Linked DNA regions of Macaca mulatta. The protein of the gene in region 5 interacts with the protein of the main gene of each other region in a pairwise test. Links are inferred from orthologs where the notes say so. Each region holds a gene or a part of one and is shown on either strand. Other genes may lie near its edges.

What was found.
Region 1: the proteins of HOMEZ (region 5) and SMYD1 interact in binary tests that used the Homo sapiens proteins (3 or more experiments, as listed by UniProt). The link is inferred for Macaca mulatta from reciprocal best matches to the Homo sapiens genes HOMEZ and SMYD1.
Region 2: the proteins of HOMEZ (region 5) and ELOA interact in binary tests that used the Homo sapiens proteins (3 or more experiments, as listed by UniProt). The two-hybrid records come from large-scale screens. The link is inferred for Macaca mulatta from reciprocal best matches to the Homo sapiens genes HOMEZ and ELOA.
Region 3: the proteins of HOMEZ (region 5) and DEF6 interact in binary tests that used the Homo sapiens proteins (3 or more experiments, as listed by UniProt). The two-hybrid records come from large-scale screens. The link is inferred for Macaca mulatta from reciprocal best matches to the Homo sapiens genes HOMEZ and DEF6.
Region 4: the proteins of HOMEZ (region 5) and RNF8 interact in binary tests that used the Homo sapiens proteins (3 or more experiments, as listed by UniProt). The two-hybrid records come from large-scale screens. The link is inferred for Macaca mulatta from reciprocal best matches to the Homo sapiens genes HOMEZ and RNF8.
Region 6: the proteins of HOMEZ (region 5) and SH3RF2 interact in a two-hybrid assay, tested with the Homo sapiens proteins (2 studies listed by BioGRID). The two-hybrid records come from large-scale screens. The link is inferred for Macaca mulatta from reciprocal best matches to the Homo sapiens genes HOMEZ and SH3RF2.
Region 7: the proteins of HOMEZ (region 5) and LRRC7 interact in a two-hybrid assay, tested with the Homo sapiens proteins (2 studies listed by BioGRID). The two-hybrid records come from large-scale screens. The link is inferred for Macaca mulatta from reciprocal best matches to the Homo sapiens genes HOMEZ and LRRC7.

The regions. Positions count from the first base shown.
Region 1 is NC_133418.1:26,091,365-26,095,700, reverse strand, and holds the start of SMYD1 (histone-lysine N-methyltransferase SMYD1), read left to right. Parts: upstream 1-1,238; 5' UTR 1,239-1,348; coding exon 1,349-1,485; intron 1,486-4,336. UniProt on the Homo sapiens protein: Methylates histone H3 at 'Lys-4' (H3K4me), seems able to perform both mono-, di-, and trimethylation. Acts as a transcriptional repressor. Essential for cardiomyocyte differentiation and cardiac morphogenesis.
Region 2 is NC_133406.1:217,252,976-217,257,432, forward strand, and holds the start of ELOA (elongin-A), read right to left. Parts: upstream 2,924-4,457; 5' UTR 2,891-2,923; coding exon 2,816-2,890; intron 1-2,815. UniProt on the Homo sapiens protein: SIII, also known as elongin, is a general transcription elongation factor that increases the RNA polymerase II transcription elongation past template-encoded arresting sites.
Region 3 is NC_133409.1:146,958,839-146,962,636, reverse strand, and holds part of DEF6 (differentially expressed in FDCP 6 homolog), read left to right. Parts: intron 1-1,255; coding exon 1,256-1,364; intron 1,365-1,514; coding exon 1,515-1,813; intron 1,814-2,894; coding exon 2,895-3,061; intron 3,062-3,189; coding exon 3,190-3,388; intron 3,389-3,798.
Region 4 is NC_133409.1:144,861,179-144,864,976, reverse strand, and holds part of RNF8 (E3 ubiquitin-protein ligase RNF8), read left to right. Parts: intron 1-1,016; coding exon 1,017-1,106; exon of another isoform or gene 1,107-1,138; intron 1,139-3,311; coding exon 3,312-3,419; intron 3,420-3,798. UniProt on the Homo sapiens protein: E3 ubiquitin-protein ligase that plays a key role in DNA damage signaling via 2 distinct roles: by mediating the 'Lys-63'-linked ubiquitination of histones H2A and H2AX and promoting the recruitment of DNA repair proteins at double-strand breaks (DSBs) sites, and by catalyzing 'Lys-48'-linked ubiquitination to remove target proteins from DNA damage sites.
Region 5 is NC_133412.1:96,375,800-96,379,597, forward strand, and holds part of HOMEZ (homeobox and leucine zipper protein Homez), read right to left. Parts: exon of another isoform or gene 2,940-3,798; intron 540-2,939; coding exon 1-539. UniProt on the Homo sapiens protein: May function as a transcriptional regulator.
Region 6 is NC_133411.1:154,819,256-154,823,635, forward strand, and holds the start of SH3RF2 (E3 ubiquitin-protein ligase SH3RF2), read left to right. Parts: upstream 1-1,295; 5' UTR 1,296-1,450; intron 1,451-2,541; exon of another isoform or gene 2,542-2,608; 5' UTR 2,609-2,714; coding exon 2,715-3,092; intron 3,093-4,380. UniProt on the Homo sapiens protein: Has E3 ubiquitin-protein ligase activity. Acts as an anti-apoptotic regulator of the JNK pathway by ubiquitinating and promoting the degradation of SH3RF1, a scaffold protein that is required for pro-apoptotic JNK activation.
Region 7 is NC_133406.1:170,595,890-170,599,687, forward strand, and holds part of LRRC7 (leucine-rich repeat-containing protein 7), read right to left. Parts: intron 2,967-3,798; coding exon 2,855-2,966; intron 2,644-2,854; coding exon 2,463-2,643; intron 1,343-2,462; coding exon 1-1,342.

The DNA.
Region 1 (4,336 bases), on a different chromosome or scaffold from region 5:
AGTAGATGCATCCGAGGAACTAAAAATCTTACATGGAAGTCAAGCCAGAGCTCCAGATCTGCAAGTGTCTTTCTTTTAAACCTCAGTGAGAGCTGCCTGATAGCCAAGAACAGTGGCATTTAGTTCAATGGGGATTTTAGATTCGTCTTTCCAGTGTCCTCACTCCTGAGTAAGAAGAAGGACAGAGCACGTTGGTATTTTCCTGGCAGCAGACACATGTTAAAGGAAATTTGATAGAAAGATAGAGATGGGGGTTGCTATTTTTAAAGCCTGCCTTCTCTGTATCCAGCCTGCCTCCAGCATACCAGCATCACCAGCAGTGCTAAGAACAGCTGTGGAGTAGGGGTGCTGTGGGAGACCTAGGTGACACTGAAGAGGAAAAATGCCCCCTTGGAGCCTAAATAGTACTGTTACGTATATGCCAAGGGCTCAGTTTAGCTTCTTCTTCTTTTTTTTTTTGAGATGGAGTCTCACTCTGTCGCCCAGGCTAGGGTGCAATGCCGCAATCTCGGCTCACTGCAACCTCTGCCTCCTGGGTTCCAGCAATTCTCCTGCCTCAGCCTCCCAAGTAGCTGGGATTACAGGCACCTGCTACCACGCCCAGCTAATTTTTGTATATTTAGTAGAGACGGGGTTTCACCATGTTGGTCAGGCTGGTCTTGAACTCCTGACCTCAGGTGATCCACCTGCCTCAGGCTCCCAAGGTGGGGATTACAGGCATGAGCAACCGTGCCCAGCCCTCAGTTTAGCTTCTGCTGCTTCCTGAAAACAGTCCACCCTTGGGAGAGAGACTGAAAAGGGTGGGGCGAGGGGCCCACCTCACTTGAGAAAGTGCAAGCCTGACAGCTGAAGGGTCCCAGAGCAGCAAATATCACCTTGTTTCTCTTGGACTACTCCAGTTGTCTGCTTTTGATTGACAGAGGCATCTGGCTGCTAAAAATACACTCCTGACCAAATGCTCCCTACTCCAACTAAAGCCGAACAGGATTGTTGCAGTTCAGAACTTAGCATATACAGAGCTTCTGCTTGCAATGGAACCTCTCAAAACTTTTCAGGTCCTATCCCAGAACCATATTAAGCCATGGTCATTTTCTCTTCTGTTAGCTTTGCTGGGTGATGAATGAAACCCTTCCCAGTTCACTTGTTCTCGTGCCTGTCCCATTCCCACCTCCAGAAAAAGTAGCAGAGGGGGAGGTGAGGGCCCAGTGGCTGAGAGCGGGCAGGGAAGGGGAGGTGGCTTGTCCATTTATAGTCTTGCTCTTTGGGATGCTGAAGGTGCTGAAATAGCAATGACAAGAGACTTGGCTCAGTGTTAAATATCTGCTGCGCTGGCCTGACAGACTCTGAGATGACAATAGGGAGAATGGAGAATGTGGAGGTCTTCACTGCTGAGGGCAAAGGCAGGGGTCTGAAGGCCACCAAGGAGTTCTGGGCTGCAGATGTCATCTTTGCTGAGCGGGCTTATTCCGCAGTGGTTTTTGACAGGTATGAAATGTGGGGAGTTGCCTTCTCTCCTGTTGGTTTGGCTGGTGCCAAACTCTAAAATACTTTGCTCTCAAAAATCATCAGGGGAAGGGATAAAATTCATGTGCTCTTTTTTGAACAAAATGACACTTCTGAGAGCTAACTTTTCTGGCATAAATTTTTCTGCAAGGGGTCGTTGCCAGTGTGATTTGCTGTGGCTCCTAGAAGGATGGTGAAGGTGAGCAAAGGCTTCAGGGGCACTTTCTCCCAACATTGGGCAACTTGGCTGAGAGGGTGTGCTGGGAGTGGAAAGGTGGGTGTGGTGCTGTGGGAAACAATTTCCGACAGAAAGCTCTATATTTTTAGCTTTTTTTTTATTATAAATATATTACCAGATAAAGTAATTGCTGAGACTTAAAAAAATAATAAACTGTTTGTATATTAATAATTATGAATAACACAGGAATCCACTTATCCTTGAAAAATCAAAGTATCATCCAATCCCAGTCCCCTCTGTCTTTCCTCAGATATTACCTTTGCTATTATTTCATTGTATTTCCTTCTAGAATGTTCCTGTGCTATTACATGTATATATCAGCATTTATCAAAATGGATGGCTGTAGTTTGCTTTTCTTTCTTTCTTTTTTTTTACATAAATGGTGTCATACTTCAGATGTCGTTTTAGAACTTGCTCTTTTCCCTAAACAACATGTTTTTGATGTCTATCCTTGCAGGAACTATAAATCTATAGATACTTCTTTTAAATTCCAAAGATCTCTTTCCTTTATAGAGCTATACATATAGATTCATATGCTATATGAATCACCAATCTTAATTTTAAATATTTCATCCTATAAATATATGACATTTTATTTATCCATGTCTCTCACCTATTGAGAGACAATTGGTGGTTTTTAATTTTTCATAAAAAAATGAAAATCCTCGATCGTGTCTACCTGTACATATGTGCGATTGTTCTCTAGGCCATAGGACTAGAAGAGGAATTGCTGGGCCATAGGATGTGATGTTTTCAGTTTTATAGGCTCTTCAAACAGGCTCTGTTAAATGTACATTCCCTCTTCTTCACTACCTTGGCCACCCTAGACTACCAAGCTTTTAAATTAGTAATAAATCTTAATTTTAAACAAATTTACATGGTGATGACATTAAAGTGCCAATATTTTCTGAGATCAAGGTTGGGGTGACCTGCTTGACATCTATGTGGTTTGAGTCTGATAACCCAGGCTTTGTGGTTGGCTGGCTGCACTGACCACCCTGGGAAAGGGCACTGCTTCTCAGAGATAACTTTATTAGTATTCACATTCTCTTGTCTTCCTGCCCACTAAGACCTTCAGGGAAAAGGGTGTGAACTGGGGCATATGGCTTACCACCACCTGAGGAATATATGGGGCTGAGGTGACTTTTTCAGGGGGAGCTTGTCTTATTTCATTAATTGTGTGTGTGTGTGTATGTGTGTGTGTCAGGGGAGGGGTGAGTACAGTTAGGGAGTCAGCTGAATTCAGAGTGAAAACACAACCCAGAAACACAGGGACTGTCAACACTAATCCTGGTGCTGCCAGTGAGTTACTGCCTGGCCTTGTGAAGAACATCTCCATTTGCTGCCTCCAATTCCCCAAAGTCAATCTAGCCAATCAGTTCCATTTCAAGAAGGTTAAAGTTGAATGGGCTTTCATTCCATTATAAAAGCAAGGCATTGTCATTTCAGAAAATTTAGAAAGGTAAGATATCACACAACGATAACCACTCTTAACATGTTGGGTATCTATTTTTGGTTTGTTTTAAAACATAGGTTTCATTTGGCTGTAATATACTCATTATAGAAGCTATTATGCTTTTTCATTTAATAATTTTGACGTCTTCTGTGCTATTATACACTCTTCAGAGACAGTACTTGAGAGCTACATGTTCTATTACCTGCTGATGACTGACCATTTGGATTGTTTCCATGTTTTTGTTATTATAAATAATTTGTCATTGATTTGAAGTAACAACTATAAAAACACTTCATGTACATTGAGGATAAATACTACATAAAATCATATATTTTTTTACAGTAGTAATACAAGTGGGATAAATGGTATAAATGACCTTTAAAATGATTGAAAAAAAAATCTAAAAGAGATAGTTTTTTTCAAAAAATGCTTTACCCAAACTTGTCACTGCACAGATGAGGGAGCTATGCTTTCTTTGGTTATACCAGAGACAGTCCAAAGAGGCATTAAAGGAAAGTTTTATGCACTTTAGGCTCCTGGTGAGGCTCAGCCACCGTAGATGAGAAACTTCATTGCAGAGGTGGAACTCATCACCCACAAAAGTCACTGTATAAAACTGGCTTATTCTAATCCATGTTATGGCAAGACAGGCTTTCCTAGTCTTCCACAGAAATGTGGAGAAAGATTATATTTTTAATTGAGCACTGCATTAAATGAAAATTAATTCTTTCAAACTGTGTATTATATATTCTAACATATATATTATCTATTATATTGTATATATTCTAACATATATTATACAAAGCATAGCAATAGATCAACACCAAACCAACTTAACTAGAATATTCCAATATGTTACATCTTCTCTATCCTGTCCCATGCCTGCTCCAAAGGTAATTATCCTAGGTTTTGTGTTGTATATTCTACTGCCTTTTAAATAATAGTTTTGGCCGGGTGTGGTGGCTCATGCCTGTAATCCCACACTTTGGGAGACCCAGGCAGGCAGATCACCTGAAGTCAGGAGTTCAAGACTAGGCTCACCAATATGGTGAAACCCTGTCTCTACAAAAATAGAAAAATTAGCCGGGCATGATGGCAGGTGCCTGTAATCCCAGCTACTCAGAAGGCTGAGGCGAGAG
Region 2 (4,457 bases), on a different chromosome or scaffold from region 5:
GGCTGGTCTCGAACTCTTGACCTCACATGATCCGCCCGCCTTGGCCTCTCAAAGTGCTGTGATTACAAATGTGAGCCATGGCGCCCGGCCAACTCTGTGTGTGCAGTTTTTTTTCTTTTCTTTTTTTTTTTTTGAGACAGTTTTGCTCTTTTTGCCCATGCTGGAGTGCAATGGCGCAATCTCAGCTCGCTGCAACCTCTGCCTCCCGGGTTTGAGCGATTCTCCTGCCTCAGTCTCCCAAGTAGCTGGGATTACAGGCGCCTGCCGCCACACCCGGCTAATTTTCGTACTTTTAGTAGAGACAGGATTTCACCATGTTGGCCAGGCTGGTCTCACACTCCTGATCTCAGGTGATCCACCCACCTTGGCCTCCCAAAGTGCTGGGACTACAGGTGAGCCACTGCACTCGGCCTAAGGACAGGTAACTTTTCTTAGCCATGAACTATGAAACATAAAAACAGAAACCAAGTGGCCCTAGCCTGCTGATACCTTCTCCCTCAAGTGAGCCAAGATGATAGATGAAAAAGTGAAAACAGAGTTACAGCAATGTCTAATACTAGAAAATCCATGAACATACGTGTGGAATCAAACCCTTGGCTAATAATGGTTTGAAAGCAAGATCTGGTTGCAAATTCAACAGTGCTATATAATCATCTTGCAATTTCACATACAACCTGTAGGAGCTTGTTAGGTTACCAGAAGGTTGAAAGGAACAAGGCCAACATGCCAGCTTGCAGTTTTCCCTCTGCAGTTAACTCATTTCTCAATGTCGACTATTATGCCCTTTGCAAAAATGATCTCCCAACATTTTCTCATCTTCATAATGCTCACTTCACAATGCAAAGCTAGAAATTCAGGGTGATTTTTTATCTAGAAAAAGCCCAAATCCTCAAACAAACAAAATCATTAATAATTCAACTAGGTTAAGGTGGAATAAGCCTTTTCCTAATTTTATATTTCATGCAAATCAACCAATAGAAAAACTACTTCCAAATCTAAATTCTAGTTAAAAAAAAAAAAAAAAAGACTGTAGACACTCATAGAATATTTTTATCTGACAGAAATAAAGAACAAATGGGGCATTGCTTTAAGGTATCAAACGTCAGTCACAGATCTTACAGTGTTTAGGAAAACAAACTAGTACTAAAATAATGACCATTTATTAGACGTCCACAAGGCGTTACTGTAAAAAGAAACTTGTAAGCATGCCTGACCACTAGGTACGGTACTGAAGCTGCAACAGAAAACATGGCACAATGAAAGCATTTTAAATTTTCCCAGATTTGTAACTAAAATGGCTTCCTGAAGAAGTGAATCTTCGAGCTAGGTATGAACGAGAACCCTTAAAAAGTGGTCTGATGGTGAGAGGCTGTGTACGGCCTTTGGAATTGGAGAAACCTTACCTCCAATAGGCTAGAACAAGGTAAAGAGAAAGTGGCTCTTCAAGAAAAAAAAAAAAAAAAAACAAAAAAAAAACCCCGAAGAACGACGATTGGTATCTTCTGAGCACTGACTTTCAGCCTGGTACCTTAGCCTTTCAGGTTAGTCCTAGGAAGCAGCAGGTGAGGAAGAGGCTCCGCAAAGCAGTTCCCCCACGGCCCTAGCGCTCCCTCCACGACTTCCTCTTCCACCAGGACTGAGCTCCAACTCCAAGAACTGCCCGCCCGGGCCAGAATGATGACGGAGAATGCCAAACACGTAGTGCTTTCATCGTTGTATTTCCACTTAAAAAATCCTGACAGCCGAGTTCAACACCAGCCTGGCCAACCCAGTGAAATCCGTCTCTACTAAAAATACAAAAATTAGCCAGGCGTGGTGGCAGGCGCCTGTAATCCCACCTACTGGGGAGGCTAAGGCAGAGAACTGCTTGAACCCAGGAGGCGGAGGTTGCAGGGAGCCGAGATCGCGTCACTGCACACCAGCCTGGGCGACCAGAGCAAGACTGGTCTCAAAGAAAAAAAAAATACAACCACCAGACTGTCTCCTGGAGACCATGGAGAAGTGAGTGACAAGAACGCTTTTAACTTAATGTTCAGTTTGTACAATAAACAACAAAAACTAGTTAACTACAATTAAAAACAGTTGCCCATCATTCGAACAACGAGAAACGGTAGCTTTTACCTTCCTATTAATCGCCAAAAGGAAACCTAGCTGCGACTTCCAACCCCGGGCCCACGCCTCTTTTTCAATTCAAACCTAAGTTTTCAGGAGTACGCCTAGGTGACGTGAGGCTTTATTCTGTTTTGAAAGAGATTCACTGAGAAAGCGAAAGGTCCACGTTCTGATATCCAGCCGGAGAGTAGTAACCGCGTCTCCGAGAGGCGCGGACGACACCACGAGCCCAGGCTCCGCAGCGTTCGGGCGCCCGGTCTCCTCCTCCCGGCGAACACGCACCCGCTGGTGAGTCCGCGCCGCTCCGCGGGGAGCCGGACACCAGCGCAGGCACCGGGCGGCCAGCGAGGCGGTGGCCAGCGCCCTCCCGCCCCGGGCGCGCTCTCCCGCAGGAAACAGCTGGCTCGGGACGCCACGGGAGCGCCTCCGGGAGGAAGCGCTGGGCACGCGGTGTCCACACCGGGCGCGCCCCCGTCCCGGGCCCGTGAAGGAGGGGGAGCGGCCGGGGCCCGGCGTCCCGACGCCCGACGCACGGGGTCCCAGCGCGCGAGCAGCGGCCAATGGCCGCGAACTTCACGACCCCAGCCCCGCGGGGCCTGGCTCAGGGTCCCAGTCCCCGAACCCCGCCGCGCCCGGGCCGCGACCGTTACGGGGCCCGCACCGACCCAACGCCCACCCCGCTACGCGCCGCCCCCTCGCTCACCTTCTTAGGGTCCGGGTTCGCGACCAGGCGCGCCTGCAGCTTCTCCACAACTTGGAGCGCCGACTCCGCCGCCATCGCTGTCACTGGCGCGGCCTCCTCGCCGGAACTGGGCTCGCGTCGCGTCCTCGGGCCGCAGCTCCGCCCTCCGTGCATCCCCGGCGGAGACGGAAGCGCGCCTGGCCCCTTCCGGGCCTCGGCTGGGGTGTGCGGGGGGCGGCGGGCCGCAGGCTCCGCCCCCAGGGCCAGGTCCCCAGCGCCCACCCAGCGGCCGCGCACGCCTCGCGCCCCGGGCCCAGGTGTGCGCGCTGAGCGCTGGGGGCTGCTCGGACCGTGTGCGCCTCCGCCGCAGGCACCCCAGCTCCCGGTGCTCGCGTGCTGAGCCCAAGCCTGGAAGACCTCTCCAGGGTCTAGTTCAAGACGGAATGAGGCCAGCGTGCCAGACTCTGGCTTTATAAATCCTAACGCTTTCCCCCTCCCGGGGCCTAGCCACGCCCTAATGAACACCCTGTCAGGGGTCCCGGGCTGGTGCCCGCCCTAGGAGTCCTAAGGTACTCGCGGTAGCAGCCACCCTAGGCTGAGCATACGATGCGTCAGTAGTTAGACTATATTTTCCAGCCTCAGTACAACCTGATGAAACGAGTTGTATCATCTTCATTTTGCAGATGAGGAAACTGAGGTTCAAGGAGATCAAATTAACTTGCAGATGGCCGCAGAACAGGAAAGAACTGAAAATGGAACCTGAATCTAAGATATCTAGGACCACTGTGAGCGCACATTTCTGAACAGGTCCAGGAATTGAGGCCCAGAGAAAGGGATTCGTCAAGATCCAAACAGCTTAGTTCCTTCCATGAGGCAATAATAGCCCATGTGTCTTGTTTTCCCCACAGTGTCTGGCACATAGGCACCGAATAAATACTTCTTGAATGGACAGATAGATAGATGTTTCCTCTGATGACCTGCCAATGAGCCGTAGGGCTTGAATCAGAAGAGCCCAAGATACCATTCTTCAGGCCGCCTACTCTCATCCTAAAAGCACTAAGTTTTACCATTACTAATATTACCACTAAAAAGAGCAACTAAATAGTTGCAAACTGACTTAATCAAAGTACCAGCATTGATTAAATCTCATTTGATCAGATCAAAGTAGAACCTAATCAGATCTTCAGCAGCAAACTGGCAGTGCACCTAGCCTGATCTCTCCCTCAAAGCAGGAAAGCCCAGAAATTCTTCCAGATTCCAGCTCTGGAAGAAACAAAAACACCTTAAACACAAGTTGTTTCTTCAAATGAGCATCCATTCACTCACTATGCTGAAAAGCCCTCCCTACCATGTCCCCACTCCTCCATTTGGTGCCCCTCCCCCAGTTCCCTAAGCAACTGACCACCTTTTTAAGGTGTAAATGGTCAGTTTATTTATCTGTCTTGTCACTGGGCTGTTTATTTATCAAGTACAGTAACCGACCTGTCCAACTTTGAATCTCTGCCACCTAGCATCATCTAGACCTTATAATCAGCATTGGATATAAAGTCCATACAAGACTAATGACCATCCACTTGGTGCCTTAAGGCTCAACTGAGGGATGTAGTGGAAAAGGCATTGAACTGAGTGTGAGAAAACTTTGATTCTAGTCCCAGCAGTAGTG
Region 3 (3,798 bases), on a different chromosome or scaffold from region 5:
TAGAAAGCTTTTTCAGGGTCTATTGAAATGATCATATGGTTTTTGCTCTCAGTTCTGTTACTATGATGTGTCATGCATATTGATTTGTGCATGTTGAACCATCCTTGCATTCCTGGGATGAATCCCATCTGATCATGGGGAATGATCTACACTCACAATATTGTACAACCATCACCACTATCTATTTCCAAAACTTTTTCATCACCCCAAACAGAAACTCTGTACCCACCAAGCAGTAACTCCTCATACTCCCTGACCCCAGCTCCTAGTAACCTCTATTCTGCTGTCTCCATGAATTTGCCTTTTCTAGGTATCTTACATAAATAGAATCATACCATATTTGTCCCTTTGTATCTGGTTTCTTTCACTTAGAAATGTTTTCAGGCTTCATCTATGTTGTCAAATATATCAGAATTTCATTCCTTTTTAAGGCTGGATGATATCCCTAATGGTGTGTGAGGATCCCAATTTCTCCATTTCCTTACCAACAGTTGTTTTTCATTTAAAAAAATTATCATAGCCATCCTAGGATCCGTCTAATTTTGTCACATAAGGTGTTACTGTGTAAAGGAATGCAGATCTACGCAGAAGTCCCAGCCTCATCACTAACAGACTAACAGTGTGAGGTGGACAATCCTGGAGCTCTTAGTGCCTCAGTTTCTTCCTCTGTAAAGTGGAGCTAATAATGCCTGCCTGGCTAGGCTGTATAGGTGGAGTGAAGATAATGATGCATATAAAATGTTAGTACAGACTCTAGAATGTGGTAGCTATTATTTTCCACAGAATGTAAGCTTAGTGGAGGCAGAGATTTGGTCTGTTAGGCACACCTTAGTATCCCAACCCCTGGAGCAGTGAGTGGCACTCAGTAGGCACTCCAAAAATATCTGCAGAATGAATGAATTAACTCTTAACAAGCAGGGCTATGTCAAAGTGCGTTGTCATGGATAGTGAGGACCCTGTTACTGGCAGTGTTCAAGCGTGATCTGCATGAACACTGAGTGGCGACTATGTACTGGGCCCCGTGAAATAATAACAAGATGAAAACGCACCCACCTAGCCTTCAAAGAGCAAAGGCTACAGAGTTGTGGGGACATAAGTCCCCCATAACTTACGATGCAAGCCATGCAGGCTCCTGGCAGATGGGGTCCCCAGGGAAGATAGCCAGGAGGGCTAGGGGCTTGAGCTGGAGCATCCTTGGGGCAGGTGTGGCCCTGACCCAGTGAGGCTAGCCTGGCTGCCACCTACCCTGTCCCAGGTGCTGCCAGACCGCGACGGAAAGCGCTGCATGTTCTGTGTGAAGACAGCCACCCGCACGTATGAGATGAGCGCCTCAGACACGCGCCAGCGCCAGGAGTGGACAGCTGGTGAGTGCTCGCTAGGTGGCTTGGGTCTGGCTGGTCCTTAGGCGCCTCATCTGGGAAAAGGGGGTGATAATACTTTGTCCAGCGGGAGGTTGGAGAGTGGACTCGGGCCGTGTGCGAGGATCCGACTGACCCGCTCCCGCTCCTCGGCAGCCATCCAGATGGCGATCCGGCTGCAGGCCGAGGGGAAGAAGTCCCTACATAAGGACCTGAAGCAGAAACGGCGCGAGCAGCGGGAGCAGCGGGAGCGGCGCCGGGCGGCCAAGGAGGAGGAGCTGCTGCGGCTGCAGCAACTGCAGGAGGAGAAGGAGCGGAAGCTGCAGGAGCTGGAGCTGCTGCAGGAGGCGCAGCGGCAGGCGGAGCGGCTGCTGCAGGAGGAGGAGGAGCGGCGCCGCAGCCAGCACCGCGAGCTGCAGCAGGCGCTCGAGGGCCAACTGCGCGAGGCGGAGCAGGTGGGGTTCGCTCCTGGCGCGGGGGACTGGACCGGCGGGCTGGGAGGCTGCGGGGCGGGCCAGCGGGGGAGCGCCAGGGGCGGGGCCTGGGCAGAGGGCGGAGCTCCTGGGTTGAGGGGCGCGCACTGGGGTGGGACTTGGAAAGAGGGATTGTTGGGACAGAGTCCGCGGGTTTGAAAGAGATTTGGGATGGAGCTTCCGCCGGGGGCAGGGCCTGAGGCTAAGGAAGGGGTGTGGGGCGAGGTCCAAGCCGGTGGATGGATGGGCCTGGTTTGGAGACCTTGGCTGTGGGTTGGGGCTTGGGCAGAAGGAGCCGTTGAAGACCGTGTGATTGGGGATTAGATTGGACCAAGTTTGGACTAGACTTGAACTGAGTTTACAGTGAAACCAGTTTGAGAGGCAAGCGGGACGTGTATGGAGGCGGACTAAGCGTGCAGAGGCAATTAGATTTAGGATTTAAGAAACCTGGATCTGGAGTCAGAAACATGTAGATTCAATCTTAGCTCTGCTTCTTACGAGCCCCGTGATGCCAGGCAGGCTCATTTTACTGAGCCTTATCTGTAAAATGCTAATGCTAATAGAACTTTGCTCACAGAGGTACGGTGAGGGTTAAATGAGGAAACACTTGTAGTAGTGTCCAGTAACTTTTCGTTGTTATAATTGGGTTATAGTCACCTCCTTCCTAGCAGCAGCCATGATTATAACATATTGTTATATATTATAATAATTATTAAGCTAGTGCTAGGAAGGAGATGACTATATTTTTGTATCTTATTTAATTATATAATGTTGTTTAATTACATATTATATAATTATGATTAAGGTTGGTACTAGAAAGGGAATACCTTTAGCCCGTTTCCCCCAAGTGGCATCTGTTCACTGACCATTATCTGTTCCAGTCAGGCTCTCAGAAAGGGGTCAGATCAGGAAACCCCAACATGAAGGCGTTCCCCAGACTGTTACCCCTAGGCAGCTTAGCAGAGTCCTGGGGAAAGAAGGGCAACATGCCCACCCCCTCCTCCCCTGCCCCCACGTGCCCCTTTTGACCTGGCTCTGGGTCCACCACCTCCCCACTCCACAGGCCCGGGCCTCCATGCAGGCTGAGATGGAGCTGAAGGAGGAGGAGGCTGCCCGGCAGCGGCAGCGCATCAAGGAGCTGGAGGAGATGCAGCAGCGGTTGCAGGAGGCCCTGCAACTAGAGGTGAAAGCTCGGCGAGATGAGGAATCTGTGCGACTCGCTCAGACCAGGTAGGCCTGAGGAACTTCTTCAGGTTCTCCCACCACCCCTCGTGGAACCCACCCCAATTTTCCTGCTTGCCGCGCACCTGCAAGGTGCCTTGGCACTAGAGACCACACAGTACACACTCGCCCGGCAGACTGCTGGAAGAGGAGGAAGAGAAGCTGAAGCAGCTGATGCAGCTGAAGGAGGAGCAGGAGCGCTACATCGAACGGGCGCAGCAGGAGAAGGAAGAGCTGCAGCAGGAGATGGCACAGCAGAGCCGCTCCCTGCAGCAGGCCCAGCAGCAGCTGGAGGAGGTGCGGCAGAACCGGCAGAGGGCCGACGAGGATGTAGAGGTGAGGCCTGGAGTGGGATGGGGTGAGGCTGGCAGGGTAAGCTCATTAGGGCACAGACTGTGGAGCCAGGCTGCCTTCCCTGAAACCCTGGCCCTAGCAGCCGCTAGCTGTGCGACTTTGGACAAATTCCCAAACTTCTTGGAGTTAGTCTCTCGCCTGGGAAAGGAAACTGGTAATAGCGTTGTTATGAAGATTAAATGAGATGATACACGATATTTAGTATGTAGTAAGTGCTGAAGAAACATTTGCTGCTATCTTTGTTCACATTATTATTAATCTGGGCAAAAATTTTTCCTTCTACCCTTCCAAGCCCCTGTCTTGCTATCCTTGTACTTTGGTTCTACTCCTTGGAGCCTGAATCTCCATAAATTCAAACACAGAAATATGTAACATAGAAAGGGAAAGTTCCT
Region 4 (3,798 bases), on a different chromosome or scaffold from region 5:
TTCACAATGTTGCCCAGGCTGGTCTCAAACTCCTGAGCTCAAGTGATCCACTCAGCATAGCCTCCCAAAGTGCTGGGATTACAGGTATTATGAGCCACCATGCCCGGCCGTATTTTCCCATTTTATAGATGAGAAGGTTAAAATGCACATCTCGAATTAGTGAGTCAAGTTGAAGACCCAGGCCTTCTGATATAACTGCTTTTTTTTTTTTGTCATGAGATCACACATTTTAAAATTTGGTTCTTGAATAATATCTTTTCAAAAATACTTACCTTTACTCCAGCTTCTTTTTTAAAAGAATTTGAGGTGAGATTCTAAAGTATAAGCTATACTTAAGCATGGGAGTGCTCATAAATTATGTTTCATGTATGTGGAACCTCTTGACATTCAGCATAGGCATTTAGCCACAGTGAATGAGCTGTTAGTTCCTGGGTGTGCCTTCTTCCAGAAGACACTGGCAGGGTTCAGGCAGCATTATCTTATGAGCATGTAGTGTGTGATTTGTAGAATAAATAGGTTAAAGATCTTTTTTATTTCAATAAAAATGACTATTTAATTCCGCTGATTCCCATTTCCTCCTGATTATTTCATAAAAGCAGCTTCCAGTTCTGAATAGCTTGTAATTACTTACTAGTTCTTAAATACTGTTCCCAGAATCACTTGGGTGGCTTAAAAAAAAAAAAAAAAGCACATTTCTGGGCTCCAAGCCAAACCTATAGAAGCAGACTCTGGGACGCATGAAAGTTCTTCAGTTGACATGGATGTCCACCAATGATGGGTTAGTTTTAGAGGCCCCAGTACATTTGGTGGCCTCCTTCCCTAACTGCCCTCTCCTCTGAAAAAAGCAGCAGGTGGGTAACATAGCCCAATGGAATAAAGGTATTATTTTGAAATTGCCATTTTATCGATCCCTGAACCAAAGTCACTAACTAGAGGAAGAGAACAGGCATGTTTGTGGCTAAAAGGAAGGATGCATTGTAGTTCATCCTGAGTATGTATCTGCTATGTTTTTGCAGCATTGGGCTCTAATGGAAGAGCTAAATCGCAGCAAGAAGGACTTTGAAGCAATCATTCAAGCCAAGAACAAAGAATTAGAGCAGACCAAGGTACTGGAAAGAAGATGGAAGTTTAGAATTTGGTTAGTGCATGCAACTCAGCATTTTCAACAGTGTAAGGGTTGCTATGGAGAATGAAGAGAGAAATCATGGCTGCTCCTTGCCTCTGGGGAAATAATCTATAAGATTATAGAGGTCTATAGAAGATTCTGCCTGTCAGACAACATCTATTTCCTTCCCTTGTTCAGAAGCAAAATGCTAGGAATAAGGCACTTGCATCCTGCATTCTAGTCCTTTGTCTATGGTGGGTACTCCTTCAGGGTGTGTCACTGATACAGACTGAGGAATATTGTAGTCAAGAAATAGTTCCTCCTGAACTATGTAATTTGAATTACATAAAGTAAAGTGAATTACTTAATGCAATTCCTTCCTGTGTCAAATCAGGAGAACTCTTGAATTAGGGGTTATAAACTTAAATGCCCACCAGGGCCAGACTGGTAATCTAAGTGAGTGAAGTGGCCTGAATGTGAGAACACAGTAGGGAGCTGTGTGGGCTATGGTTCATTGGATGGGGTATTTGCCCACACCCCCATCCCAGGAGGCAACTCTTCTCTGCTCAGCCAATTGTTGCCGTCCAGAAGTGCAGGCCCAGTGTTGTCAGATCTTCTGATTTTTCCACAGCAGATGAAAGTCCAAATGTTTAAGTGAAATATCCCAAAGTTTAAATATTGGCAACAACTTCAGCTTTTTGTGTGTGTTTTCTTTAATGTGAAGGCCAAATTAAACAAGTCTGCAGGGTGGATCCAGTCCACAGGCCACCAATTTGCAACCTCTGACCTGACATTAATACCTGAGTCTGACTGCATCTCTCATCCCACCCCCTCCATGTACAGACCTAGAGCTGAAGGAGGGACTTTAGTTGGTTTGATTTCCTGTTTAAATCACATAATACCTTCCTCTTCAACCTCCAAGAAACTACCACATCTTTTTAAACCCAGTGATTCCTAAGTTCTCAGGGAATTTGACTATAGTTAAGGGGGTCCAGACTTTCTTCACTGCCCTGAGCAGTCTGCCAGTCTGCTTTGAGTGGAAAAGAAAACAAAAAGATGAAAAATGAGCCGGCCACTCAAATATACCTCAAATGGCCTATCCTGTCCCCCTCAGGGGCTCTTAATGCTTTCTGTTTTGGGGGTGAAGTGCTAAAATAAATGTCTGCTTCAAGAGAGCATACCTAGGATCCTCCTTAAAAAGCGTGTTCACCCGCAGTCTGACCTCTTGGGGAAAGCCGAGGAGATGGTACTGCAGGCCTCTGCAGGCGTGGGAAGTGGCAGGTATCATAGAGCATGGAGCCTGAAGGTAATTCAAGAGGCCTTTCTCCAGCCTTCTGCCTCCAGAGGTGTGCCTTACTTTATAGAAAAGGCAGCTGCAAAGAACACTTTAACTTTATAACTAATTCAAGTTTCCTGCCTCTCTGGACTATTCATGCGTCTTTTCTTGTCCAGTGAGTTTTTCATTATTTGGGATGATCTTATGTAACGTCCGAACTACGGCTTGCTATAAACTACTTAATGTCCCATCTGGTCTTGGGTGGTTGGTGTGGTTAGTATACCACCTGCATTTTTCTCATTTGACTAATTTTGGGGAAGGAGACAGAAACTGCAATGCAAATACTGAAAAAGTGGTGTTTTAGTCCATTCAGGCTACTACAAAAAAGACCCATAAACTGCATAGCTTACAAACAACAGAAATTTATTTCTCACAGTACTGGAGGTTGGGAAATCCAAGATCAAGATACTGGCATATTTGGTGTCTGGTGAGGGCTATCTTCTGTTTCATAGATAGAGTCTTGCTGTGTCCCTACATGGTAGAAGGGGCACATGAGCTCTCCTTGGGCCCCTTTTATAAAGGCCACTAACCCGATTTATGAGCATGGAGCCCTCATGACCTAGTCACCTCCCAAAGGCCCCACCTCTTAATACCATCACATTTGAAAATAAGTGTCAACATGGGAATTTGGGAGGAAGCACAAACATTCACACCATAGCAAGTAGGGAGAGGAAAGAAAGAAGGTTAGTGCTCTGCATTAGAAAACAATTATTAACAATAACCCTTAGGGAAAGTGTTCTTAATGTTGCTATACCAGAATGAATCATTCATTAAGACTGAATCCTCTTCTAAATAATTAACCCTGCTCCCTGTCCCCTTTTGCATTTTTGTTGGTTATCTGAATGACAGGTAGGATTGTGTGTCTTGCAGGAAGAGAAGGAGAAGGTGCAAGCACAGAAGGAAGAAGTTCTCAGCCACATGAATGATGTGCTAGAGAATGAGCTCCAATGTATTATTTGTTCAGAATACTTCATTGAGGTAATGAAGTTGCTCACCCCTTCTTTTTTTTTTTTTTTTTTTTTTTTTTTTTGAGAGAGTCTTACTCTGTCACCCAGGCTGGAGTGCAGTGCTGCGATCTTGGCTCACTGCAACCCCCACTTCCCGGGCTCAAGCAGTTCTTGTGCCTCAGCCTCCTGAGTAGCTGGGATTACAGGCACATGCCACCACGCCTGGCTAAATTTTAGTATTTTTAGTAGACATGGGGTTTTGCCATGTTGGCCAGGCTGGTCTCGAATTCCTGACCTCAGGTGATCTGCCCACCTCGGCCTCCCAAAGTGCTGGGATTACAGGTGTGAGTCACCACACCTGGCTGACCCCTTCTTATTCTCCCAACCCTGAATGGAGCCTGGGCTGTACA
Region 5 (3,798 bases):
TGGTGGCATCTGAGAGGACTCCTCAGGCTCTACCTTCAATCCTTTCGTCTGGGTGGGCTTGCTAAGAGACGGAGGACCTATTCCAATACCAACTTGTTCTGGAGCTGGCATTGGAGGAGGAGGCACCTCCTCTGGGGGCCGTCCTGCATGATGAGTAAAAGAGAGAAGGGATTTGAAATGGAGTTGGTCCCGACGGTAGACTACTCGGGCTCGAGTTTCTTCTATTTCTTCAGATGACCAGCTAATACCACAGCGGAGGCGCTGGGCCATAAACCAAGTCTTGACTTTCTCCATCTGCAACCCATAACGTAGGCAGAGAAGGGCAATGTCTGCTAGGCTGGGATAGGGAAAGTAGCTGAAGGTTTTTAGCAGGTGTTCATTGCTGTCTAGCTCACTGGTCTGGGCTGCTTGGGTCCACACAAGCTGTAGCTCCTCAGAGATTGGAGGGAGGCAGATGAGCCCCGCTGGTGAACTACTGAGACCGCTGGCCTCTTTATTAGGAGGCATGGTGCTTTCTGATTTGTGCCCTTCAGAGATAGCTGTAATAAGAAAAGAAACAGCTCAATCACTGGGTCTCCTCTTCTGACACATTGCTCAATTTCTACCAAACTAACTGCTGGACACCAAAACAATTAAGTTTCTATTTGCATCATGTTGTATTGCTTTTTAAGTGCTTCAACAGTTTCTTATTTAATTTTCATAAACAAGTCATCAGACCCTGCTTTAATTCTGATTTTCTGTGGACTAAAGTCCATAGATGTTAAATTACCCCAAGTCACATGACTGGTGAGTGTTGTTCCAAGAAAAAAATCTGTCTTTAAAGCCAGTCATGGTGGCTCATACCTGTAATCCCAGCACTTCAGGAGGCCTAGGTGAGAGGGATTGCTTGAGCCCAGGGGTTTGATACCAGCTTGGGCAACATGGTGAGACTACAAAAAATTTAAAAATCAGCTGGGCATGGTGGTTCGTGCCTGTAGTCCCAACAACTTGGGAGGCTGAGGCAGGAGGACTGCTTGAGCCTGGGAGGTCGAGGCTGCAGTGAGCTATGCTTGCACCACTGCACTCCAGCCTGGGTGATAGAGTGAGACCCTATCTAAAACAAACAAAAAAAGGCCGGGTACGGTGGCTTATGCCTGTAATCCCAGCACTTTGGGAGGCCAAGGCGGGAGGATCACAAGGTCAGGAGATCGAGACCATCCTGCCCAACATGGTGAAACCCCGTCTCTACTAAAAATACAAAAATTAGCTGGGCATGGCGGTGAGTGCCTGTAATCCCAGCTACTCAGGAGGCTGAGGCAGGAGAATCATCTGAATCCAGGAGGCGGAGGTTGCAGTAAGCCGAGATCAGTGCCATTGCACTCCAGCCTGGGTCACAGGGTAAGACTCCGTCTCAAAAAAAAAAAAAAAAAAAAAAAAATCTGTCTTTAGAGGTTAAGAAGGAAAACTGATCCTGATACAGTTTTTTTTAGTGTGTGTGTGTGTGTGTGTTTGTGTGTGTGTGTGTGTGTGTGTGTGTTTGAGACTGAGTCTCGCTCTGTTGCCAGGCTGGAGTGCAGTGGCACGATCTTGGCTCACTGCAACCTCCACTCCCGGGTTCAAGCAATTCTCTGCCTCAGCCTTCCGAGTAGCTGGGATTACAGGTGCCCACCACCACGCCTGGCTACTTTTTGTATTTTTAGTAGAGATGGGGTTTCACCATCTTGGCCAGGCTGGTCTTGAACTCCTGACCTCGTGATCCACCTGCCTCTGGCCTCCCAAAGTGCTAGGATTACAGGTATGAGTCACCACAGCCAGCTGGTGGGGTTTTGTTTTTTTTTTAAGAGATAATATTGCTCTGTCACCCAGGCCACCCAGGCTGGAGTGCAGTGGCACCATCATAGCTCTGATACAGCCTTCATCTTTCCTATTCAAACCCACTTCTAGAAGCTATCCACCAACTCTCACCTTCTAAATTCATGGAACAAGAATCACACAGTGAAGACTCAACCACAAAAACAAGAGGAGCAATAATTTCAACTTGTTTGTGTGTGTGTGTACATTTTTGTTTTTGTTTTTTCAAGAGACAGGGTCTCACTCTGTTGCATAGGCTGGAGTGTGGTGGCGTGATCATGGCTCATTGCAGCTTTGAACTCTTAGGCTCAAGCAATCCTCCCACCTCAGCCTCCCAAGTAGCTAGGACTACAGGTATATGCAGCCATATCTGGCTAATCTTAAAATTTTTTGTAGACAGGGTCTCACTATGTTGCCTAGGCTGGTCTCAAACTCCTAGCCTCAAGTGATCCTCCCACCTCAGCCTCCCAAAGTGCTGAGATTACTGGAGTGAGCCACTGCACCTGGCCCTGAGAACTGTTTTTTTTTTTGTTTTATTTTGTTTTGTTTTTTTGAGCAGGGAGGGTCTCGCTCTGTTGCCTAGACTGGAGTGCAGTGACATGATCTCAGCTCACTGCAGCCTCTGCCTCCTGGGTTCAAGTGATTCTTGTGCCTCAACTTCCCGAGTAGCTGGGACTACAGGTGTGCGCCACCATGCCCTATTACATTTTGTATTTTTAGTAGAGATGAGGTTTCACCATGTTAACCAGGATGGTCTCGAACTCCTGACCTCAAGTGATCCACTGGCCTCAGCCTCCCAAAGTGCTGGGATTACAGGCCTGAGCCACGGCCCCTGGCCAGAACTGTTAATAACTTTTTTTTTTTTTTTTTTTTTTTGAGACAGAGTCTTTTGTCACCCAGGCTGGTGTGCAGTGGCGCGATCTTGGCTCATTGCAACCTCCACCTCCTGAGTTCAAGCAATTCTCCTGCCTCAGCCTCCCAAGTAGCTGGAATTACAAGCGTGCACCATGATGCCCAGCTAATTTTTGTATTTTTAGTAGAGACGAGGTTTCACTATTGTTATAAATAAGGTTTCGGTGCCACAAAAGAAATAGCAATCGAATATAAAATTTTCTTTTTTTTTTTCTTCTCAGCAGGGCAATTTACTTCTATAGAAGGGTGCGCCCTCACAGATGGAGTAATGGTGAGCACACACCTGGACAAGGGAGGAGAAGGGGTTCTTACCCCTGACACATGTGGCCCCTGCTGCTGTCATTCCCCTATTGGCTAGGGTTAGACCGCACAGACTAAACTAATTCCGATTGGCTAATTTAAAGAGAGTGACCGGGTGAGTGGTTTGGTTATGGCAGAGCAGGAAATCGGAATGAGTCAGGGTGGAGAATGAGTCAGGGTGGAGAATGAGTCAGGGTGGAGCAGGTAATCGGAATGAGGCAGGGTGGAGCAGGTAATCAGAATGAGTCAGGATGGGGCAGGTAATCGGAATGAGTCAGGGTGGAGCAGGTAATCGGAATGAGTCAGGGTGGAGCAGGTAATCGAAATGAGTTAGGGTGGAGCAGGCAATCAGAATGGGTCAGGGTGGAACAGGTGATCGAAAAAGGTTGCTTTACAAGGAAGTTAAGTTTAAAAGTAGAAGGCAGAGAATTGAACATACTGATATATTGATTCTTTGAAGAGAAATTTAGAACTCCTATCTAATGCTCTGTTGGCCAGGCTGGTCTCGAACTCCTGACCTCAGGTGATTCACCTGCCTTGGCCTCCTAAAGTGCTGGGATTACAGGCATGAGCCACCGCGCCCAGCCACTATTTTTTTTTTTTAGAGACAAGGTCTCGTTATGTTGCCCAGGCTGGTGTGCTATGCATAGGTGCAATGATAATGCACTATAGCCTCGAATTCCTGGGATCAAGTGACCCTCCTGCCTCAGCCTCCTGAGTAGTTGGAGCTACAGGTGCACACTATTGTCCCTGGCT
Region 6 (4,380 bases), on a different chromosome or scaffold from region 5:
GGGCACAGCTGCCTCATCTGTAAGAAAAAATGAGAAGCCAGTATTGGCCATTATCTTTTGACCTCTTGCCCTCTTAGAGGAGGCTTAGCTCCCTTGAACCACCTCTTCACCTCTTTTTGTTGTTGTTGTTGTTGTTGTTGCCCTGGCTGGAGTGCAGTGGCATGATCTCGGCTCACTGCAGCCTCCGCCTCCCAGGTTCAAGTGATTCTCCTGCCTCAGCCTCCTGAGTAGCTGGGACTACAGGCGCGTGCCACCACGCCCAGCTAATTTTTGTATTTTTAGTAGAAACGGGGTTTCACCATGTTGGCCAGGATGGTCTCGATCTCCTGACCTCGTGATCTGCCCACGTCCGGCCTCCCAAAGTGTTGGGATCACAGGAGTGAGCCACCGCACCCGGCCAGCCTCTTAAAGTTATATCACTCCATGACATTGTTAAGAGCACAGATCACTTGCCTTCTGTGGTGGAGCTGTGACTCCCGGGATGAGTTATTTACCCTCTCTGTGTCTCAAGTTCCCTCATCCGCAAAATGAAAGTAAAGAATAATTTAGTGTATCCTTGGGTTGTTAAAGGGTTAAAAGGCTAATATAGGTAAGGTATTTAGAACAGTGGTTGACACAGATAAGGACTACCCTGGCATTAAGATCGTTATTATTCACTTAAATGGATACCTTTGTAGTTTTACATGAAATGTATTATTGATAAATCAAAAAATAGAAATATAGGCATAATCTGAGGATATGAAAAGACTACAGTGGATAACAGGCAGGAAGAGAGCTTGGAGGCCACTGTTTTTCCTTTTTTGAAAAAGCTTCTCTGTGCTTTGATTTTTCACGTATGTGTATATATGTGACACTAGTTTCTTAATGGAAACAGATTGAGCAAAAAGATCACTAAAGTCCCTCTTATCTCTAAATGTAGAGATTGACTATGATTTTCAAAGAGCAACATTTTCTAGGTGTCTGGCTTATCCTTATTTTCATAGCTTGACCATTTTTACTTTTGACCTTCCCAGGAAATCCTTATGAAGGTTTAAAATAAACACAATCACTTTGGTATGTTTATAATGGAGCAGGTTCCGACTCCTTGGATACTAGAGAAACCGGGAAAGGTGAAAATAGGAACTTTGTAAATACTTGGCCTTAGGGACTGGCTGATATTTTACCTCTTACCATCTTTTCCCAGAAACAATTCAGTTAACTAAAGGAAAGATCATAAAGTTAACAACCGCAACAACAAAAGCGTGGTTGGTAGGCAGCAGCCTGGCGGTGAAAGCGTTAACAGGGCTGGGTAAGGCGATCCCTTGAAATGAGTAAGACTGAGTGGTTAAAGTTTTCAAAGCGGTGGCAGCAGCGGCGCTTGGGGGAATGGAAGCCGGTTGGAGGGAGCCGCGCACCCCTGCTGCGCGGAGGAGGGGGCTGAGCTGAACTCAGCAGAGGTTACACGCACAAGGTTAGTGGCCCCCACACGCCTCCCCAGCCCGCCGCCGCGCTGACATCTTTGGAGAGGAGTCTTAGAAAGGCGAGGCGCCATCGCTCATTCTCGCGTCGTATCTGTCCTGCTGACTAGTCGCTAGTGGAGCCACTGGCCTTCTTGCCAAACCTCTGGGCTCAGTACTCACTGAAGCCCTGGCACTTGTGAGGGACAGCTGACTTCTTCCCACACTTTTCTAAACTGGAGGCTTCTTTTCATACATCCAAAAGGAAACTTGTTTCTGGAATACGTACTGTTTTCAGACCACACACACACACACATGCATACACACATACACACACACACACGACCCCTACCTGTATATGCTGCCCCAGTACGGTTTTTACAGGTTGTGACCACAATCCGGAATTCCTATCTGCTTCGTTTGAAACTGAGAACAATGTCAAAGTAACTAAACAGGCTGCACTACTTTACCTCGTGGGAGGAATATTGTCTCTGAGCCTAAGGTAATCAGAATGAGGAGAAAAAAAAAAAAAAGAACCAAAGATGAAAAAAGAAAAGAAACAGAGCTTCCAAGCACCCTGACTTGTAGTTAAGGCAAAACAATTTTTGGAAATGGGTTTCTAATGGAAATTTTTCATTGCTAGCATCATGTGGGAAGGTATATTGTAAAGGAAATAATTCTACATCTGCATGAGATTCAGATAAACGTACCGACCTAAACTAATCTGCATGTCATGCAGATAACAGATACACTTAGATTTAGGGGAAGGAGGAGGAGGAGGTAACTTCACAGAACTTGCGTTCGGAGGGGGCTTTGTTGTAAGAATTGAGACTGTCAGGAGCTTTCCCCAGGCAGGGGTGAAGGAACTCTTCCCGGCCCTGGCTGGTAGAGAGGGCTTGGGGAGCCACTTCAGCAGGCCAGTTTATTTCTCTGCTCTCCTGGCCACATAGGCAATGAACAGTCAGTCTTGTGCTCAGTGCTCCTCTGATCCTCACAGCAAGCACGAGTTGAGTCTTATACCTGCTAGCATTGAATCAGAATGAGTCACTTGAAACTTGGGTGCCGGAACAAAGTACTTGCAAACTGCCTTATGAGACACTGCCTCGATGTAGGTGGGATATACCTCTCGGAGCAGTCACATTTTTTTTCTCTCCTCTCCCTCCTTCAAGCAGGCAAGAATTCTGACGTTCTCAAGAGGCCAGCTCTGCCCCCGTTGCTCAACTGACCTTATCATGTGGACTCTGCTCCTCCAGGTGGGAACTGGAGTTTTGAAATAAAATGGATGATTTGACATTACTTGATCTTCTGGAGTGCCCTGTGTGCTTTGAGAAGCTCGATGTCACAGCCAAAGTCCTCCCTTGCCAGCACACCTTCTGCAAACCATGTCTACAGAGGGTTTTCAAGGCCCACAAAGAGCTGCGGTGCCCCGAATGCAGGACGCCTGTGTTTTGCAGCATCGAGGCGCTGCCGGCCAACCTGCTGCTCGTGCGCCTTCTCGATGGAGTGCGCTCAGGGCAGAGCTCCGGGAGAGGAGGCTCCTTCCGCAGGCCCGGCATGATGACCTTGCAGGATGGCAGGAAAAACAGGACCAACCCCAGACGTCTGCAGGCCAGTCCTTTCCGGCTAGTGCCTAATATCAGAATCCACATGGATGGGGTAAGAGAGATCTTATTTGTTAATATCATGCCCACATGGAGGTTGGATTTGTGTATACAAGGAGCTAGAGATTATCTTCTTTTAACTACAAGTTTAACATTCCAGAGTGCTGCTGGTGATTCCCCAGTGATACGTTTCTGTGGGCAGTGATCATTTTACTCAAATACGATGGAAGCCTGAGCCTACCTAATCTATCTAAGAATTCTCTTTAGAACTACTAAAGCTTCCTAGGTTCTCCTTTCCTCTTGTCCAGAAAGTAGTAGAACAAGGAAAGCCTTTTAGATTATATTTTTGGTGTTTGATTTCTGCTCTTCTGAGGCCAAACCAGTGCCTGGGAAATGCACGGAGGGTGGGGAAAAAAAAGAGAAAACAAATCCAACTGCTTGTTGCTTTTGAGATCTCTTGGAAATTTCCAAATGTCAAGTTTTTTTTGAATTTTACCCAAATCCATCTTCCCACCCCTAGTCATAAAGTGCTATTATGGCAATACTCATTCATAATCTGTTCGAAGCTATCAAGATACTTGACGAGGGAGATAGTGCGGGAGGGAAGCGTCTATGTGGGTGGACTGATTGATAGCGAAGGCTGGGCTGTGAAGTACATCAGCTGTGTATAGAAGCTCTGCAGATGTGTCTCATTTTGCAAAATGAATGAAATACACAGAAGATACACAGCAGGCGCTGCAATTAAAAAACCAAACAGACCCAGTTAAGCCTCGCAGGAGATTAATGCTTTTCATGTTTGGATAATGGGAATCGCTCTGTCCAGCACTGAAAGCACACCCCGAGGACTTCATCTGACCTGGCTATGAGTCTTGTTGTGGGATAATGTGTAAGGGCACATCTGGAAAGAAGGACATGGTCCTTGTGAGTCCAGCAGAATTATTTGCACTGTCACCCCTGGAGTCAGTGTAACAAAGTGGACACGGAAAGCTGTGGCTTGGGCCATTGGCATACTTAGAAAATCAAAGCTGCATTCCTTGAAGTCTTACCTAGAGCAAGCGTTAGAGTCTAAATGCTGGCAGCAGGGTCCTACATCTCCCTGCTCAGAAGACAAACAGTGTGTGGGAGGGTCTTGCAGGACTGCTTCCTTACTCAGGAGTGAGGAGTGGCTTGTGATATGCATTTGGAACAACTTTCCAAAATTTTCCTTCTAAGGGCTACCGCTTCCTGGGTTCACTGCATCTTTAAACCACCCATAGGGCATGTGTAAACATTCGAAATGAGGGTGGGAAGAAGTGGGACATTTTTTCACTGTAGACTTTTTATTGCCATTGTGCTTGTATGTG
Region 7 (3,798 bases), on a different chromosome or scaffold from region 5:
ATACCTGCCATTCCTTTTCAGGAACTGGGACTCAGTCACTGTAACGCTGCTTTGGCGATCCAGCCCTCCCCTATATGGAGGTCTGCCATACCTATCAGTTGCGGGCAGCTCGTGAGGCTCATTGACCCTTCTAAACATGGCCATTTCTGTGGCGCTCACCAGGGAGTCGGCCCTTCTCAGGAAGCCTGCCCTGGCCCCTTGACTTGCGAACTGGGCATTCACCACAGCATCCTCATTCACAGATGGCTGAGAAAATGAAAACATTTGCTCCATTGGTGGGTATCCTCTGTAAGCTCTAGGACTAATCAAATCCTTGGTGATGTTTTTGCTGGCCTGTTGCATGTACTCGGGATTGTGTTGAAAAGGGGGTGGTATCCTCTTTTCGGCTTTCACTTCCACTGATCCTTGAGGATTGAAGCTTTGGTCAAACTGATAGACTTTTTTTGTCATAGAAGCTTTTTGTTGTTGTGGCCCTTTACTACTTCCGTAGGTGAGCATCTCGTCATCCAGCATCGGGACTGACTGGCTTCGAGACATACTGGACATACCATGCTCTGGTCCCAGCATCTTATCTGGTCGTTCGTGGCTTCCTAAGTGATCACTCCCAGAAGCATAGTTTTCTAATGGTATGTTATACACCTTATATGTACCAATGTCAATCTCATCGATACTCTGTGACTTTTTGAATTTATTAGACTTGATATCTTTCATTAGAGGGGAAAGCCTCTCTGTGCTTTTGCTAATTGAAATAACACCTTTAGAAGAGTCTGGGCGGCAGTGGATTTGAGAAAAGACATTACTAAGACTCCTGTTGGGATTGGAATCATGATACTCCCATGGTACGCCTGGAGAAAAAGGACTAGGTATTTCAGTAGATTCCTTTATATGTTCTTTCCTTTCAGGCAATGGGCTGGTAGTAGGGGTTGTCTCTAATTTGGAAGGAAAAGCGGTCCTGTCTTCAAATGGACTAGGGGTTCTGGTCCAATTCTGCCAAGGATTGGAAGGAGGCACTTCTGTTTCTGGTGTGTGTCTGTGTGTAGACTGCTCAAGTTCCAGGGGAACACCAACAATCCTGTCTTGCCTGATCAAAGGCCTGCGTCCATGCGAAGATGTGCTTCTAGATTTCGAACTTAAGAGAGGATTACTGTTGGCATTCTCAGCTGCGGTTTCCTCAGCAACAAACCCTGTGTTGTCATAATGTGAGCCATCAGTCCAGTTGTCAGTGAAAGTATCACTCATGGGCAGCCGGTCAGGACGCTGTGGTATACTGCCTGGGGGAACAGCCTCCCGCTGGCTGAGTAATGGCTTTGAATCAAGAGGCTGTGGGAAAGATGGTGCAATCCTGTGAACACAATGGGAAGAAGAAATTGAAAAGGACGAAGAGTTGGGTCTAATTAGAATCATGATTCCTGATATCCATTCCTGGAGATTCTGATTTGGTACATTTCGAACTATTGGCTGAGAGTACCTTTCTTACAAATGCTTGGTGTATGTAATGAATCTAAATTGTCTTCGGATAACTTTTACTTGAAGGTCAGGTTTTGAAGACACTAAATGTTACTATATAGAGAGCATATTCAGGTATGTTTTTGTAGAATGTAAATTATATTATGACTTTAGATCCCTGACATGTTTATATCATTGACCATGTTATTTCTAGCAGATACTGAAATAATGCAGATAATGAATTTACAGACTGAAAGCGTTAAGATTTTTATTATGAGCATCAATGAATAGGAAAAGTTACTCATGAATTACTAAAGAAGACGTTGCCAATAGTGGCAATATTTTCAGTAAAATATGAGTAAAAGTTATTGACTACCTATATCATATAACAATTTTAATTTGCTATTTGTAGTATAAAACATAGCAACAAGTTACAAAATGGAATTAGAACTGGAAAACACTGCCTTATTGAGTCACTTTATTGTGCTCTGTGTGTGGTTTTTGTTTTTTCATCTGTAAAGTTAGAGTAATATAGAAGAGGAGGCATTTTGGAAAGATTAAGTACTTTAAAATACATCCTAACTTTTCCAGGTGGTGATAAAATTATTATGATGATGATAGCAATGAAAATTTATTGAACACTTACTCTGGACCAAACACATAAGTGTTTTACTGGCATTTTATTTTAATTCATTATGCCATTTTGTATGGTAAAACATCCATGTCTCATCAATAAGTATCAGTGGGCTAACATTTTTTTTTATTTTTAAAATTTTTTGTTCTACCATCTCATCCTGTTAACTCCTACCATGTCTTCCTTAAACAATGGCCTCTCCCTGTAAGATGGATTCATCTGTTCTTGGCAGTCCCAGGCGAACAACATTTGCTTACCTGCCCCTTCTGTCTTCTGTGCCACTTGTGTGCTGAATACAATTCCAAAATTAAGAAGATTCCATTTTTTAAAAAGTTGCTGAAAATAAACGTTTGGGAACAAAAGGAGGGAATTCTAAACACACCTGTTACCCCACAAAGAATTATGTACTGCATCTTTAGCTGTTGTCTGCAAGGACCCCACTTTAACCCGGGTATTAGAGGATCCTGAGGAAGCCTGGGAAGGCGAGTAGTCTGAGTAAGTGCCTGAGGAAACACTGTTATTCAGACAGTGAGTTTTGTCAACTTCAGACTCATCAGTTGATTCTGAAATTTAAAGGGGAAAATGTTATAATGCTATGACACTGACAATTACACGGAAAAGCAAGTATGAAAAATGGAAACCATACCGATTAAGGTTAGAAATGCATATTTGTAAAACATTTGTATAGACTATGGTGTATCATAATTTACAACTGGCGATTCATCATGCACATGCATTTGTAGCATATTTTCCACATTGGGTTCACAATGTTACCTTTTTTGTCCTTCCCTAGCAGAACAAGTTTGGGTGGGTACAGAGGGGTCTCAGCTAATGAAGGGTGAAGTTCCCCAATCCTCATTTCATTAGCTGGATGAACAAAAGAATCCTGAGAGATATAATAATACAGGACAAGGAAAGTAAACATTTAAACAATGGTTAACCGAAGTGGCAGTATGTTTATTTGGCTCAGATTCAAAAATGTGACTCTAGAATTCAGTTCACTGTGGGGCACTGGGAGAAATAAACCATATGTATCTCTGAGTTAAGCATTAAAAATTTTTTTTCTAACGTAAGTGAGTCCATTTATTCATCCTTTTTTTTTTGCATGTTGTTTATATGCCTGGCACTGTGCAATGAACTGTGGAGGTTCCAAAGAAAGACAAAATGTCGCTGGTACCCTCTGGGAGTTTATAATCTAGTTGGAGAGATGAGATATAAGTCATTAGAACACCAGACTGAATTATGATAAGCCATTAATGAGCAGTATGATTCACACAAATATGACATATATGCATGTAATTGTTCTAAGTGGTGAACTCTCTTAAGAGTTTTAAGAGGAAAGTATGTCACTGACTAATTAAGATTTTGTGTGTGTGTGCATCCCTAGCCACATTAATTCACTGTCGGGTCCTATAAATCCTGCTCTTCCCACCACTTTCCTCCTCACTTTCTACTGTATCCCAAGTGATCATCTCCTCAATTTCTCAAGTTCTATCATGTCTTCTTCCAAAGGTTCCTGGTTTTCTCACACCTAATCTAGCGTGCTAAATCTTCATTCTATACCCCTTCTTTGAGTGTAACGAGCAATATCGATACACGACTATAACTTCATAATGACAAATAAACATGTAGAAAACCCAAGAATTTTAAACTTCCACAATTCAAATTACTGTTCTCAGCTAACCAGGGAGTGTGGAAAGCATTAGGGGAAGGTAAAA